2 linked regions of the Lepisosteus oculatus genome follow. The protein of the gene in region 1 interacts with the protein of each later gene in a pairwise test. Links are inferred from orthologs where the notes say so. Each region holds a gene or a part of one and is shown on either strand. Other genes may lie near its edges.

The links. The genes of interacting proteins can lie anywhere in the genome.
Region 2: the proteins of ehhadh (region 1) and tpp2 interact in binary tests that used the Homo sapiens proteins (3 or more experiments, as listed by UniProt). The two-hybrid records come from large-scale screens. The link is inferred for Lepisosteus oculatus from reciprocal best matches to the Homo sapiens genes EHHADH and TPP2.

The regions. Positions count from the first base shown.
Region 1 is NC_090707.1:24,619,205-24,627,302, forward strand, and holds the start of ehhadh (peroxisomal bifunctional enzyme), read left to right. Parts: upstream 1-4,939; 5' UTR 4,940-5,330; coding exon 5,331-5,404; intron 5,405-6,108; coding exon 6,109-6,212; intron 6,213-7,103; coding exon 7,104-7,273; intron 7,274-7,868; coding exon 7,869-7,980; intron 7,981-8,098. Other genes in the region: transmembrane protein 41A-B, read right to left, coding at 4,389-4,552. UniProt on the Homo sapiens protein: Peroxisomal trifunctional enzyme possessing 2-enoyl-CoA hydratase, 3-hydroxyacyl-CoA dehydrogenase, and delta 3, delta 2-enoyl-CoA isomerase activities. Catalyzes two of the four reactions of the long chain fatty acids peroxisomal beta-oxidation pathway.
Region 2 is NC_090710.1:29,087,765-29,095,859, forward strand, and holds the start of tpp2 (tripeptidyl-peptidase 2), read left to right. Parts: upstream 1-4,832; 5' UTR 4,833-4,953; coding exon 4,954-5,118; intron 5,119-6,485; coding exon 6,486-6,614; intron 6,615-7,011; coding exon 7,012-7,107; intron 7,108-7,605; coding exon 7,606-7,710; intron 7,711-8,095. UniProt on the Homo sapiens protein: Cytosolic tripeptidyl-peptidase that releases N-terminal tripeptides from polypeptides and is a component of the proteolytic cascade acting downstream of the 26S proteasome in the ubiquitin-proteasome pathway.

The DNA.
Region 1 (8,098 bases):
ACTATGGAGAATTTATCTATTATTTTACGTCAGTGATTCCCAAACCTGGTTCTGGGAATGATGGAATCTACTGTTTTTTTCAGCTGAGCTCTAAATTTTAAGTGCTAATGATGCCTTAAATTCATCTGCATGGTTGTTGAAACTCAGTTTGTTTGTTTCTGCACAGTCTGAGTTTCAAGAAAACCCTACTTTAAGCGTTCTGTTACCAACGTCAGCCTATAGAACCTTAAACAGTCTTTCCTCAACATGCTTTACCTTTTTTTCTGATTAAATAAATATTAACTGGTGATCAATTTATGAACAGGTGTGGGAAGTGCAATGATCAAACATTCCCACAATAAATAAGTTCCTTCTGGGGTCCATTATTTTGTATTTCACACATCTTAACAAGGGGAGTGCTTAAATTCACAAATTACAAATTACAAATCCCATTCTACGCTGAATTTACCAAAAGCAAACTGAAAGAATTAAGGAAATGATTAGGATGCGATTAAGAACTCAGCTGGAATTAGTGCAGAAGACATAGCAGTCTTACAGGATGAGGGATGGAAACCAGACAGGTCTCTAGACAAGAGTACGACACAGGAGGGAAAGCTCAAGTCTCAGATTTACATACAGATCACTTCCTGATTTGAAAGATCAGCTTTCTCACATCGTAACATCAGTGGCCACCTTTTAAAAGTGGCAGCACACATTACCTCTTGTTATACTGTGAAAAAGTTCATCTTTGATGGGGCTCCCAAGTGGATTATTTATTATAGACCTAATCATGCAGTTTCCAGCCATACATTATGTACATTAAGAGAACTGCAGTTATTAATTTAGTTGAAATTCATATAGGGATGTTTGTTAACTTAAATTCTAAAATATGAATAACTGTAAAAGGCAGTATTGTAAGTGTAATGTAATGTAATCACAGTTGTAATGAAAACCACATTCATGATGGTAATAGAAATATCCATTATTTATAAAATTTAAAATTATTGCATAATCATCACTTACTGAATAGTCCTCGAGACTTGCATGATCTATACTAAGGACGTGTGGCCCCTTTCCTTGTGTATGTATAATTACAACTGAATTTCAGCTCACACATCTGGATGTCGTGAACCACTTTCTTAATTTGTACAAGTTGTCCAGGTCTCTACTTTTATTATTTTTAAAGTTACCCATTGCTCCATCACCAATACAGTAGATAGCATATCAACAGTATGTTTCCACAATGTCAGTCAAAGGTCACCTTTAGCCTACGATTCAGTATGACCCAATAACACTGCAGTAACAAAAATGCACAAAGGGATTTATGAATAAGGAGGCTTTACCTAATATGCTTATAGCACCTTTCAAAGAAAACGTTACTGTTATTACTCATTCAGTTAGTTTTAGTGTGTCTGGAATAATTTTTACACAACACACTGTTTTATAACAAAGAATCCTTCTCTGGTATTGCAAGTACAACATTGTGTTTCATGGGAATGCAGCAAGCCTACTTCCAATCAGGTCCTTTCTGAAGTGACCTAGTTTTATTTGAGCCCAAAATGATTACATAATGACATTCTCTTTTCACAAGGTCACAGTGGCATGTTGCATGTGTCTGTATTCCTTTTTAGCTGGAAACATAGTTCCCTCTGGGAGAGTAAACACAGGTTCTAAATTTCACTCTGTAATTTAAAAGTGAAAGAAATAATACTCAAAAATAAATAAAATAAATATGAAGTTTAAAACTTGTTCATCCAGATTTGTTAAAAATACAGTTCTAGGTGAATGCATGGGGATGTGTGCCTGAAGAACAGGAAATCCAGACAGAATGGAACCCTTGATTATATTGATGAATTACCAACAACAAAATTCCTTTTCTTTTATTCACCAGATCAGCACTGCTCAGGCACATTCTTGTGACTGCCCATGCTACTTCATTTAAAAAATAAATACTGGACTACACCACAGATTGTCTTATGACAGTAAAGTCCAGCTTTTCAATGGTGGAGACCCTCTAGTTAACAAAATCTGAAACAAAATCTCACACGAGCATTTTGGGAACACATGCAGTTGTCTGCTCACTGTTTGCTCCTTCCTCCCTACATTATGGAATGTTTCCTTCTATGGAATTTTTTATTTACAATGGATTGATTAGACTGGTAAATTGGCACTGAGATATAGCAGTTGACCATGCTCCCTCACAGCTCTTGAATATATGCCAGGCAGGGGTGCATTCTGTATGGAGTTTGCATGCTCTCCCTTTATTTTCTCCTGGAATGGACTGGTATCCCATCCAGGTGTAGTTCTGCTTTGCACCCTTTGCTTTTGGGATTACAGTAGATCCGGTTTGTCCCCAACCCTTTCCAAAAATAAGTGGCTTTCTTATAATGGATGGATGAAGGATGATTTGATAGGCTGACATAAGCAGTCCCCCTTTATATACCACCACTGTTTACTGCGCAATCTTGGCTGGTTTATTTATATGGTTAAAATTCCAAACAAACTAACAAGAACACAGCCCTCAACAAAACGAAATCCGAGACTGATCTGTTATGAATCTTACCCAACCCTTGAGGAAGATATGCTAGCTCAAAACAGGTGTTGAATACTATGTGACCGTATCACTATCACTTCTGAGATGGTGTGGCTCAAACGGGTTTTAGAGCACGTGGAATTATGGTGCTCAGCACATTTGGTCGGAAAACTTGCATGGCAGTGCTGCAAATGGGATCAGGCGGATTGCAGATTAGACATGTTGGGGACTAACTTCGTGAAACATGGCCATCCCCCCAAAACAGGTGTCTGATCTTGTGGAAAACCCCAGCAGAAAGCAAGATCAAGAGCAAGATCTACAGTTACGTGGTGCTATAAATAGGTGATCATCACAGAGGGGAAGAAAATCACTGACCATATTACATTACTCCTTTTGAATTTGAGCTATACATTCTTTATATATTTTGTGTCACCCTGTGAAAGGAAATAATAAGAACATAAATCTATCAAGATATTATAAACATAAACATCACAACTTACTGTATGTTGTGTGTAGAGCAATGTAGATCTTACTTTAATCACTTTCATAGTGTAGGCCTTACTTTTATATTTTCCTTTTAATACAAATGACTGTCAGCCACTTCATAACTTTAAAAGAGTAGGGCTATGGTGGTGATACACATTATTTTTATATCATAATAATAAGGTAACATTACAAACTAACCCTATCCGTGGTTACATAAAACAGGATATTACATACAAACTGGAGACTGATTTTTCTGATTTCTTTCATACTATCAAACCTTTAATGGCAGCACCAAATTTGGCAACACATTTCTCAAAAATGTTTAACTAAGATAAATAAAATCAATTGTATCAATACCGTGATGCCTCTAAACCCATAGTGCTTGTCTTGCTTTTGAACATTATCTTCAAAACTTAATGTATGTAAAACCTGACCATTCGACATCACCGATGTCTTAAATATTAAATAAAAGGTGTCAGTGTTACCGCTGCAACAGTCCAGGAAAAGCGAACGTACAGTCAAATGAATGTCGTTACTGGGTCTAGTTATTTCCATATTAGAAATGCATGCATTGCTACACGTATTATTACAGTAGAAAAGTCGTATTATTATTGCTATTATTTACGCAAATAAAACGTGCATCATAAGACTAAAACGTACCTTTGTGGAGATTAGGTACTCGACTAGAGTGCTCGCTTTCATACCAAAATTCATTTTTAACATGCACACAGATGTAATACGCGTTATTAGTAATTGATATAGTTGAAGCTCTATAGTAAAAGTTTTACTAAAACGCATGGCTTCAAAACCAATACAGCCATGTTTAGAATACATGCTAGTCGCATTTAAATAAAGCGGGAGCCTGTTACTGTATATGTAAGGTTCTTCTGTGTAGTTGGGAAGTAGTTACTGTACCCTCCAAGTCTTAAAGATGGAAGTCTGTATTGATTATAACACCCCGGTGACAGTGTCAATAAATAAGCATTATTACAAATCATAGAATTACGCGTTCGTTGTGTACTCAGTTATTACATTTCACTGAGCATTTATTTTTTAAATGAACTTATTTTCTCAAACCTTACAGCATCAACTACAGACATCTTCCTTCATAAGACACGTCGTTGATTTTTTACTTTAAAAGCATATTCCACATACTCAACCTTAAAAAATGTTAACGTAGTACAATATTATTCAACAATCCCCGCGGTACTAAAAACAAATTTTAATGTCTACATTATTCCATAATGGTCACTACCACAAAACGAGAAAACATGAAATTGCCAACTTTTGATTATGACATTTCCCATGAGTCTGGATGAGAAATGAGACAAAATGCTTGCAGTAGCGGTGTCTTTGTCTGACCAAGAACGCAGTATCAATTATAACTTACCTATGTTCTTCCGACCCCAAGTCGGGGTCCGAGTTTTCATTGGACTTGACCGGCTCATCCCCTGTACGAGGGTGATGCGGCCCCGGGGGCAAATAAGTGGAGAGAAGGTAGAGATAGAAAGTAGCCGCAGTGACCAGTAAAATTAACCCCGATATAGATCGCATGGTCCCAGGGCTAGCACTTCAGAGGCTAAATCTCTAGCTCCGGAACTTACAGAGTGACAGCAATGTTGTTTGAGCACTGAGCAACTTAACCTCTCCCTACAGTATCCTTGTACAGACAGCGGAACTACATTACTGTGGTAACAAAAATAAAGGGGAACATTAAGAGCAGTCGGACTGATAACAGTAAGACGGATCACGTATATCCGTCAAAATATCTCTGCCAAGCTAGCGTCGCTAAATGCAGCTAGCATCACGCTACTCGATGTCAAAGTCCAATGTAAAGTCAGTGTGGTACTGGCGTAGTTTTGCGTCAGATGCACATGGCCTTGTAGCTTTAAACGTGGACTTTGAAGTTACGTATATGCTACAACCTCAGATTTAAACATGTTGCAGAGAACTGTTGTTTCTTTTATCAATAAATGTATTGCTTCTTAACAATAAGCGTTGCTCAATTAGATATAGACACTCATTCAACAAGAAAACCGATTCACTTCCATTAATATCTACATAAAGATGAAATTTAAAAAGTATAAACAAAAATAATGGTGTGGAATTTTACTTGTGTAAACTCGGGAGTTTGACCTATCTGACTAGCTGTGTGCACTCATATCTTCCTTTCGGGCAACTAAAAAACATAAGGTTAAATGTTTTGGTTGGCAGACTACATTTACGTATTGCGGTGAGGATCTCACCTGGTTAAAGTTCAAGGTTTCGTAGGTATTTCACTAGCGCATCTGTTAGTGGAACGATAGTATTATCAGTCTCTGTGGAAAACAAAATGGCAGTTTATACTCGCATTCCTGGCTCCGTTGCTGTAATAACGTTGACTAACCCACCCGTCAATGCACTCAGGTAAGCTTAATTTAAGTAAAAATAGTTATGTATTCTTGCTGGTAATGTCATTGACAACGCAACAGACTAAAGTTGAAAGGAAAAGTACTGTAAGGATTTTTTAGTTAAATATTTTCATAGGTTACTGGGCAAACTATGTAAAATAAGTGTGCTGCTATAGACATCTGCACTAGCTGTGCAAGAACGGTGTGTATGCCCTTAGTAGCTATACTGTACACTGAGCTGCAACATTGTTTTCACCCTCAAGCTGCGTGTTCCGGCTTTATAAAATAAATGTCTGTCATAAATTAACATTATTAAATTATCACCACGAAACATACGGTACACCTATTGCCTCTTTTAAAACTTTATATAAGTTATGAAGGGTAATGTAGTCTTTGAACTGTGAACTGTCCTTCACTTTTTTCTTGTCCGTCTGTTTATTTATGATGTCAATCAACATTCCCTTTAACAAAGCCCTCAAAATATTTTCTTGCAGAAACTAGGAGGGAAATTATATAAAGTTCATACTATGTAATAGCCTTCACCAGTTTGTACCTTCTGGTTTGTGAAGGTTTGCACTTAATTTAATTTGTGAAAAGTGCTCTTAATTTAATGCAGATCTATAATTTAGGAGGTATGAATTCACTGTATGAATCTGTCTGTGCTATGTACATTGGGAACACTGCAATGTTGATAATGTGGATTGTTATAATGTCCTCCAGCTCCACAGTACGTAAGGCCATCAGTCAGACAGTAAGCAGAGCTGGTGCTGACTCAGAAGTAAAAGCTGTTGTGCTGTGTGGAGACAACAGGATGTTTTGTGCTGGTAAGGAAAGGACTGTGTCTGTTATTGACAAAGTGGCAGTTAGGTTCTTGGTTGAAAGTTGAGTGGCCATTCTTTAGCTTGAAAAATATAGCTTAGTATGAGCACAGTATGAGCTATGTAAACAAACTGAACTTGGAACATTAAAATAAGTTATCAAATGCCTGTGATATATTAGTAATTCTGAAAAAAAAACGGGTGTGGTCCAAGCTAATATTCAGTATATATGGGCTTTGTCTGAACACTCAGATGTTGTTTAGCAGGTACAAACATCAGCTAGCCAGTGCTAGAGCTGATAGAACAGTAGGCACAAGCTAAGTAAAGCCTAAGCTAAAGTCTGGAGAAAACAGTTGAATTACCTTGGAAGCAGTAATATTCAAGGAATGCCAAACTCATTAAAAGCATTTAGATTTAAATTAACATTGGATTTAAAACATTATGCTTTAAATCTACTTCTCTTCATGAAAAATCAATAAAAACACATTTATTTTATTGAAATAGGTAGGTCATGTACCTATTTGGACTTTGTAACATTGATTTTATCCCCCTGAAAGTGCTGTAAACACAGCTTAGCTGGAGATTATTTTTGAACATGGTATGTGAAACAGTGCACATGAAACTGTGAATGCTTTTAAGTCTGGCTTCACCAGACTGGAAAAAAGGCAAATATTAATGACCTAGCAGCAATTCCATTCATATATGAGAGGCCTATAATAAACCCATTTATTTGTTCTCTTAAAAAATGTGCAAATTCATAAAAATGTTTAAAAAATATTGCCAGTTCATATTCTTTTCATCCTCTATTAGTGTAATTGCCATTGAAATGTACTGTAGGCAGTGTTCTTGGTCTCTTTTGCTGACCAGAAGCTGCTGTCATGTTTTTTGTGGGTGCAGGGGCGGATATCCGGGAGTTCTCGGGGACGATGTCCGGCCCAGCCCTGGTGCCCCTGATCGACGAGATTGAGGGCGGCGAGAAGCCCGTGGTGGCAGCAATAGAGGGCGTGGCCCTGGGGGGTGGGCTGGAGCTGGCTCTGGGCTGTCATTACCGCATCGCTCACTCCGAGGTAAGGTCAACCAGCAAGCTAGGACATTTCTTCTCTTTCCTGCACCATCAGTATAATCATTAGATGCCAATAAGTCCTTGTATGTATCAAACTGCTACACAATGTTAGGGGTCTGTTGGTTTCTCGTGTCTGGAGAAGCTAGTAGGTCACAGGTAGCACTGCAAACAAATAATTTCATTAGAGAAAAAAATGTGTTTCTGGTTGTGTGACAGGTTGAACATGTTTCGCTTTATTTTCTGTGTGTACTATTTGGTTATATTTTTATTTTCAGAACTTGAATAAGTCACGTATTTTATTGTATACCATCATGTTTATAAAGAGGACTTTTTGCGAGAAATAGGTCTTCACAGAGTGAAAATTCCCTTTGGAAATGGAGTTGTCTGTTTTCTCCTGAACATGACTTGAGTTCTGCACAAGTTACTGCTAATTTGGGGAATAGTTTGTGCAGTGAATTGACATTTATATCTGCATTAGTCTAATTTCATTTAGTACCTAGTGATCAGAGTTATCTAGACATTTGTGTTTTAGTGGGAGGTAGACGTTCGTTGCTGAAGTCATTCTTTCTCATACTGTTCTCCTGCTCTTGGTGCTGTAGGCTCGGGTAGGACTCCCAGAAGTCACGCTGGGTCTTCTTCCGGCTGCAGGGGGCACACAACGCTTGCCCCGGCTCACTGGGATTCCTGCTGCTCTGGAACTCATTACTACAGGTAACCATAGCAGCTTGACTTTGGCGCCTTGCGTATAAAGGCCTGAAATAAGAATCTGTGCAGAAAGTTAATTTTGTAACTTTGTTAAATCATCTAACATGAGAAAGGCTGAAAAGGT
Region 2 (8,095 bases), on another chromosome or scaffold:
CTTTGTGCATTTTAGTTTACAGTGGTGGAAAAGCTCACAGATTCAGACCAGAGATTCTTGAAATGTCCTCAGATTTCTATGAAGGCGTGACAGCTGCTAATAGCAGTGTCACCAGCTTGTAGCTTGATCCTGTCACATATCAGAACGTAAACAAGTCTGGGCCTGATCGGTACCGGAATCCGAGACATCCAAGGAGCACCAAGTTACAACTATAAGTGATGTTAGTGGTGCTCTTCTCTCTAGAGGAGGGACACATCATTGCAGGAGGTGCTGTCTTAAGACAGACCAAGCTCATTAAGAGATCCCATGAGACTGTTCACAGGAGTAGGGCTGTAAACCCTGGTACCCTGGCTAGATTTGATTCTACATATGCACAAGCTGACCTGCATGGAGTTGCTATCAATCTAGGCCCACAGGAATGTTAAGAAATGCATGTTCATTTAGACTTTGAGTGCCAGCAATGTTATTTAGGATGTCTGAGGTCACATGGTACTGATTTACATTAAAATGCTGATCACTCCTGGTTTGCACATACAGCTCATAAGGGGTAACCTCATGTTAACAGTTGTTGTCAGGGGCTTAATGCAGCATTTACAATAGAGTTAGGCCTATTACAGTTATGCTTTGTTTCCTTGTTTTATTTTCAGGCCCAGTCTGTGTGGGTAAGATTCTGTATTGTTTCTTTTTCCTGTGAAGAAAAGAAAGAGATTGTCTAACTTGGCAGAGACATTACTTCAGAAAACAAACGGAACATGTTTTCCGACAAAAGCGCAGGTTTGACAGATCATTTAAATAGTAGTAAGCTGCCACCTAGTGTCAACAGCTGAGAATGCAAGGGGGGACACTGGTCGTGAAGTTTAATGTAGAGTAATAGCATGAGACCTTAGACATCTCAAATAACGAACATGCCATTTCTTAACACCCCCTGTCCACCTAGAATAATAGCAAAATTCTAGGACCATGAGGAATTGTAATTAATTGCTTACCCACTACAAAGCAGTTTACCTAGAGAAGTTACAGGGTAAGGAAGCACTTCAGGCAGGTCAGTGTGTCCATGTGTATAAACTCAAATCGATCATTTTCATTTACAATAAAGCAGACGTAATCCATGTATAGTGGCAGCACCAGAAACCATTTTTAGTGAGGGCTTAGCATGTGGGAGAGTGAAGACATGATGAATTTTTTGGTTTAATATGCTCTGGTGTTTGCCTGTGGTAACAGCAACCTCTGAAACCACAAATGTGGCCAATCCTATATAGTTACCCTGTACTTTATGAGACAGACTTTTAAACAACACAGGTATCGCCAAATGGATTTCATAAAGTGGTGTGACTTAGTCCCCAAGCATAATGACAGACAACTCAACCCTCCCAGTCTAGATCTACATCTAAAGAGATTTAGATTAGCAGTGCTAGTGTGTTTCAGCACAGTAACAGAAAATCCCTTCTTTCAGTGTAAGAATACAGTACCTTTTGCTCCTTTGATACCCTCCAGTTTCCAGGACAGAAGCCTTCCCCAGATTGCTACGATTGTTATTTAAATTCTTCATTAGTTTAGTTGGAACAATTTCAGTCAGAACTGCGTCTGACATGTTTTTAGATACCACTGACCAAGTTATGATGCAAGAAATAAAAGGTAAATATAAATGTAATTGTAAAATTTCCCTCATGACTGCTTCACACATTTATGACTGCACGGTCCTGTGCACTTGTGAAGCTGAGTTTGGTTTTACGACATAAAAAATTGCAGCTCTCAAGTGATGCATCTCAAACTTCCTTGTAGCACAACCCTAATTAACTAGCCTCCAGTTACAACATTAACATGCAATTAGTTTCTGAAAGTTACCGATCCACTTTGATTACTAATCTTTAGCATTTTGAACAAGATTGGATGAGATTACAAGGACTGAGAACAAACAGAAATGAAAGTTTATAGAGTGTAGTAAATCCAGAGGTCAAGACTGAACCAAAACAGTCTTTCATTCTTCCATTTTTTTCTCATTTGTTTTCGTGTTGAATCATGAAAACAAATTAGATAATTACCCAGAGAGCACCAGGAAGTGCACCTGAAACACTGAATATTAACATTGCAACTATAATTAGTGTAGATTTATCAAAAAACAGTAGGAGGTATAGAAGTTTCCATCTAGCACAATTTCACTTGTCAGTAAGAATCAGTCCTATGCTTGTCTAGACATGCATTATGTCTAATGCACCTATTTAGAAAACATTCAAAACTGATTTATGGTATGAATGCTTACGGTTTCTTACAAAACTGACGTGTGGAAGTTCAAGAAGAAGTCTGTATGTATATAGTGAAGTGCCTTTAAAACTGCAAACAGGAGGTGTCTCTTTACCCAAAGGGTTGCGGGAGTATGGAACAAACCGCTCGGCCATCTTCTTGAAGCTGAGACATTGGCTCCTTCCAAGAAACAGCTAGAGGTTATATCCAGAAATAACTGGTTAACTACCAAAACAGGAGGGATGTGCCAAAGGGGCTCCTCTCATTTGTAACATATCAGACAGAGAAGCTTAAGTATTTTAAGGTCAATGATTCTTTGTTGGTTTTGTTCTACTGGCCCTGCCTTGAATCTGTGCTAACTTTTACCCTGATCTGCTGGTTTGGTAACCTGAATCTGAGAAGCAAGAACAAACTGGGCAGCCTTGTGAAAATATGTCAGAAGGTCCTTGGTGCTGATCTTCCAGCCATCTCCTCCATCTATCATTCACGTGTTTTACACAAAGCAAAATCCATCTGCAATGATCATTCACACCCCTTGTTTAATAATTTACAGTTACTCCCATCAGAACACAGATACCGACTCTCCAGCTCCAAAACCAACAGATTCATACCTGTAGCCATATCCTTACGTAACTCTTGACCTTCAATGTAAATATGTATGTATATTGTTGTTCCTGTCTTTTTGTTCTGTTTGTCTGTACACCAACACTGCTGCTGTAAAACAACTTGCTTCCCCTGGGGTAATAAAGACACTCTTTCTCTCTAAACTCATACCCAGTGCTGACAATCCCTAATCCCTGGTCTCAGGGTGTCTTTTGAGCAAAACTGCTGAACTGAGTGAAAATTCCTTTGGAAATGAAGGGAGTTGGCAGACAATTAATCACCACTTTCTTAAAGTCTGGCTCTTCAGAAAAAGCTAAACGAACTACTTTACAACACAGAGAAACATACTTTCTTTTAATAAAAAAAAAGACCACTGAGGACCAAATGTTTCTCTTTGCATTCATAAACTGTAACTCTTTGGAAGTATTTTGAAACAAATATATTTTTCTCCCCAACTGTTATGTTCAGTCACACACAGATGAAAATGAACAGGGCACTTCGGACAGCATGAGGGACAAGACCAACAGTACTAAGGAAGGTAGTCAATTGCATGGAGACAAGAGATAAATGAATTATGATTGGTGTACTTACATTTTTTAATTTAGGTTACAAAACAAGTCAATTGAGAATAAATTCTCATTTACAGCAACATCCTTGAGACTCGTTTCTGCATTTTTTGGACCAATCTGAGCATGACCCTTCACTCAAGGGTGCGACAATCGCAACCCATTTAGGATTTGAACCTGTAGCCCTCTGATTTGGGGGTAAAAGCCGTGACCTATACTCCACACCACTGCCTGTAGTGTAAGACATATCTTGTTGTACATGAAACACCTCACTGGAGACGGGCTAACCTGAACTAATTCTTCTCTCTAAAGAGTATCTTGTCTTGTCAGCTGGAGTGATTCTTAAGACTGGGGCACTTCCAGTTTATCTGTATGGAGATGTGCAGATTGTAAAACAAAGTTGTGAGTAGTTTATTATTGCCATGAATTAAGGTTCCAGTTTCACACAAGCCAGGCTTAGCCTATAGCTAGGGATTGTAATTCTTCAATTAAGACCCAACACAGAAAGATGGGCAGGATGGTTGGTCCCTTTTCAGGCCATTAAGGCCCAGGGGGAATGGGGGGGCAAGGGCCACCATTATTCCTCAACCATCTGACACTGGAGGTGGAGGTGATGAGGTCAGCACCACGCGCCAGCCAGCCTGTTACCCCCAGAAGGATTAACCCCCAGTACTCTAGTGGAAAGCAGGCTGAGTGGACCTGGGAGCCCTCTGGAAGGAATTAGAGCAAGCTACATCACCTGCCCCCTACCCGGGACTGAACTCTGGACTTTCTGGTCAGGAGCTAGACTTCAACTTCGTCAGCTTCTTCCTAGTCTCCTCTCTGGAGGAGGAGGGTATTTTCTATACAGAAGCTGTGCTTCATATTCGTTGTTTTGCTTCATTATGTGTTCGGCCCATCTTGCATAGATTGTTACTTCCTATGCTGGTAATCGAAAACAAAATTTTCATAAAACATCAACTCAAATTATTTTGAAGCAAAGGCACACGGGACACCCTGCAGCCTTTGTGGAAACCGTGTGTTTGGCTGTACAATATGGTGTGCTGAGGCTGTTCGTTTGCCAATGGACTGAGTTCAAGCAGATTGCATAGGTGCACAGTTTTTCCATAAAGACCCTGAATTCTCCTCACTGCTCTCCTTCATAGCTGGCAGCTTGTCTACACTTGTGAATACACCACCACTCATGGGCATAGCATCTTTTATTTAATATTTACTGTTATTCAAAGAAAACCAAAACCGTGAGTTTAAAGGATGCTGCAGTAATTGGGTGCTTTTTGTAATTACATTCGTTACCTAATGATTTGGTTTGTGCAATCAGATATTAAATCGACTGTAACTTCCAGAAAAACGGACAAACAGAAGAGTTATCGTAAACTGCCCAAGGAAAACGCCTGAACATTGAACGCGGCACCGGGCTGAAAAAGTGGACTCTGTCTCTTTAAAAAGCGTTCCCCCAGTCTCCGGCTCAGGCAGTGTGTGTGTATACGGTTTCTCATCCCCCGCTCCGGCTCGTTATTGTTTATCATCGTCGTTTTGTCAGGTCATGGCTGCTCATTGTGCTGAAGAACCCTTCCCTTTCCACGGACTGCTTCCCAAAAAAGAGACCGGGGCCGCGTCCTTCCTTTGTCGGTACCCCGAGTACGATGGTCGGGGCGTCCTCATCGCCATCCTCGATACCGGCGTGGACCCAGGGGCCCCGGGTATGCAGGTAACACCAGCAGGGGGAGTGCGGGGAGGTGCAGGCCGCACGTCGGCAGCCGCCGGAGTCACTTGATGGAAGTTACCCGGCAGGAAGCCGGCTGTGCGGCGTGGGACAGTGACTTTATGCATGGTCGCTTCTCCACAGGCCTGCATCGGTGAAGTCGGTTAACAATGGCACATTGCCGTGTCCAGTCATCTCTTGTGTATCTGGGCACCCTGAGCGAGACTTGTTTGTTGACGTTTGTTTTGCATCGCTAGCTGTTCCCAGCTCTGCTTTGCTTTGCTTACCATTTTCAATCGCAATTTCCTTCAGGGTTTTCTTTTAGCTGAAACGTTTTTGAACAGTGCCAGCTGCAACAGGGCAGGGGTTGTCCCGTTTCATATTTTTGAATGAAATTTGTCTTTTATCGGAGCTGGTGGAGATAAAAAAAAAACAACATCCTCAAGGTGATGAAATGAGATGGAAAACGCTGGGCATTAAAACAAAAATCCAGTTGTAGGAATTTAATGTGTATTATTGCAGCTAAAATCGACAAAAAAAACCCAACTTAGCTGACATCATTTATATGAGTAGTTATACTGATATATTTTAATTATGAATCTGACAGTGTAATATAAACAAACCTAGCACTGATTTATCATTTATTGTAAGTGAATTTATTTTGCCCATCAAATAAAAAAAAAAAAGATCATGGTCCATTTTAATTTATTCATTATTCTGATTTGTTTTTATTTTAATCAAATCTGTTGTGAGGTTAGCAGGATTTCATATAACTTGATTCTGAAGTGCTCAGTTTTTCAATAATGTCAATTCTGTTTTCTTTTGAAATATGTCTACATCACAGAACACTTTTTAGACACTTTTAGACACTAGTTTGGGTGCATTTTTCTCCCCATCTGTATTTTTTGCACACAGGGAGAAAAATAAAATTTAGTTCTGGCTATTTTTTCAGTGTCTGAAAGGGCTTTAGGCAGCGATACTGCAGTGATCCACCGAGCTCCGAGAAAAGTTGAAAGCCGTCAATAACTGAATCTGACCTATTTACCTCTTGCCATGTATTGATGTGTTTATTTGTACATGAATACATCAATCCAGTCTTTTATACTAGAAGTTAGCCATTTGCAAAATTGTCCAGAATGGCTAAAAACATTGCTTGCTCTTTTGTACTTCTCCGTGGGAGAAGCCAAAGACAAATTCCCAACAGCAGTGGACAATAAAGTATCTACCCCTTCGATTGAAAGGGCTTCCCTCGTAGTTGTCTTCTTGATTTCTGCAAGCAGGTATTGACAGAGTGCGGCCGCCCACCAGGACCAGCGGCTGCACACGCCTCGAGCTCTCGGTCATCTCTCGCGGTCAAAACGTTCTCTTTTTAGGTGACGTCCGATGGGAAGCCGAAGATCGTGGATATCATCGACACGACGGGCAGTGGGGATGTGAACATGTCCACGGTGGTGGAGCCGAAGGACGGCATTGTGGTGGGCCTGTCGGGGAGGACGTTGAAGGTCAGGCCCCTCGGTCAGCAGAGTCTGTGCTCTCTTCCTGTCCTGCCTTTGTAGCTTGATGGCGACAGCTGTGCTGCATTCAGTGGAGGTGGCCATGCGCTCTGTGTGGTTGCCTGTGTTTTAGCTCTTCTGCCGCTCTGATGAGTAGAGAGAAATGTCCAGGGCCTTCTTAGGGTCAAACAGACCTGAGGAGCTTACTCCAGCCCGCTGTGATTCACGTCCATTCGTTTACATGAACTTCTTGACCTTTGAACGGGAGGTTCCCCTTTTACCCGGAACCACGCAGAAATGTTCTTCAGTAGCCGAAAAATCGATGCCTTTCGAAATCCTTTTGTGTTGATACTGTTTTTAATGCAAAAGGTGCAGTCTCACGCCATCGTGTCTGTTGCTCTTGTAGATTCCTGCAACATGGATAAACCCATCGGGGAAGTATCACATCGGTGTCAAAAATGGATACGAGTTTTTTCCAAAAGCCCTGAAAGAGAGAGTACAGGTAACAGTGCATGCACGTTCTACTTTCGACTTAAGTATTTTTTATTGATACTCGGTAACTCAGTGGCTGTTGCAGCCCTCTCAAGCACAAGTAAATAAACAGTGGGAACACTATATATTGGTTTTGTTGTCCCGTTCAATCCCATTTTCTCCCACTCAATGTAATGTGCAAATTACCCACTATGTTGTCTCAAGGCTTATTTTGTTTTTTTCTTTTCAGCCTTCGTTTGACTTTAGCAAAGTGTAATGGGATCATTTAACTCTTGAGCCCTTTGGCTATTTTTACAAGGTAGTAAGTCAAAAACAGATACATTAAGCAGATAGGTAATAGATAAAGGGTCAGGTACACAGATTAAAGCAGTTTCCAATTCAAGGATGCATGAGCTGTATTGGATTTGCTTTTTAATTAAGGTCGATTTTTAGTTCCTCGTGCCCAGTGCCCTACTGTGGGAGCAGGTGTTAAGGTACCTGTGGTTGTCTTTGTGTTTTCTTTGTGCAGAAGGACCGCAAAGAGAAGCTGTGGGACCCGTCCCATCGAGCTGTGCTGGCTGAAGCCTGCCGGAAGCAGGAGGAGTTTGACAGCACGCACACCACTCTGTCCCAGGTCAGCTGGACAACTGCTGAACAGTCACACGCTGAACACAGGGCCGTCAGTGGCTCTGCTGATCCTGATGAACACCTACCACACCATCAGTGCACAGCAGACTGAGCCCAGCTCTTTGAGTGGCTCTGTTGGTACATATGAGCACCTGCTATCCCCCTGGTACAGCACACACAGATCTCTGAGCTTTCAGAGGCTGTGTTGCTTCAGATCTCTCTCAAAAAAAAAAAACCCCAACAAAACCACATCCTGCTTAAAGGAGAGTGAGACATACACAAAGATGGGGCACATCTATTGCAGAGTTTTTTGTTTTTGTAAGCTGATGTCATCGATTGGAGACTTTTTCGGCTGTGAAGCTAGTTACAGTGCTTCGTATAAAACCTTTAAA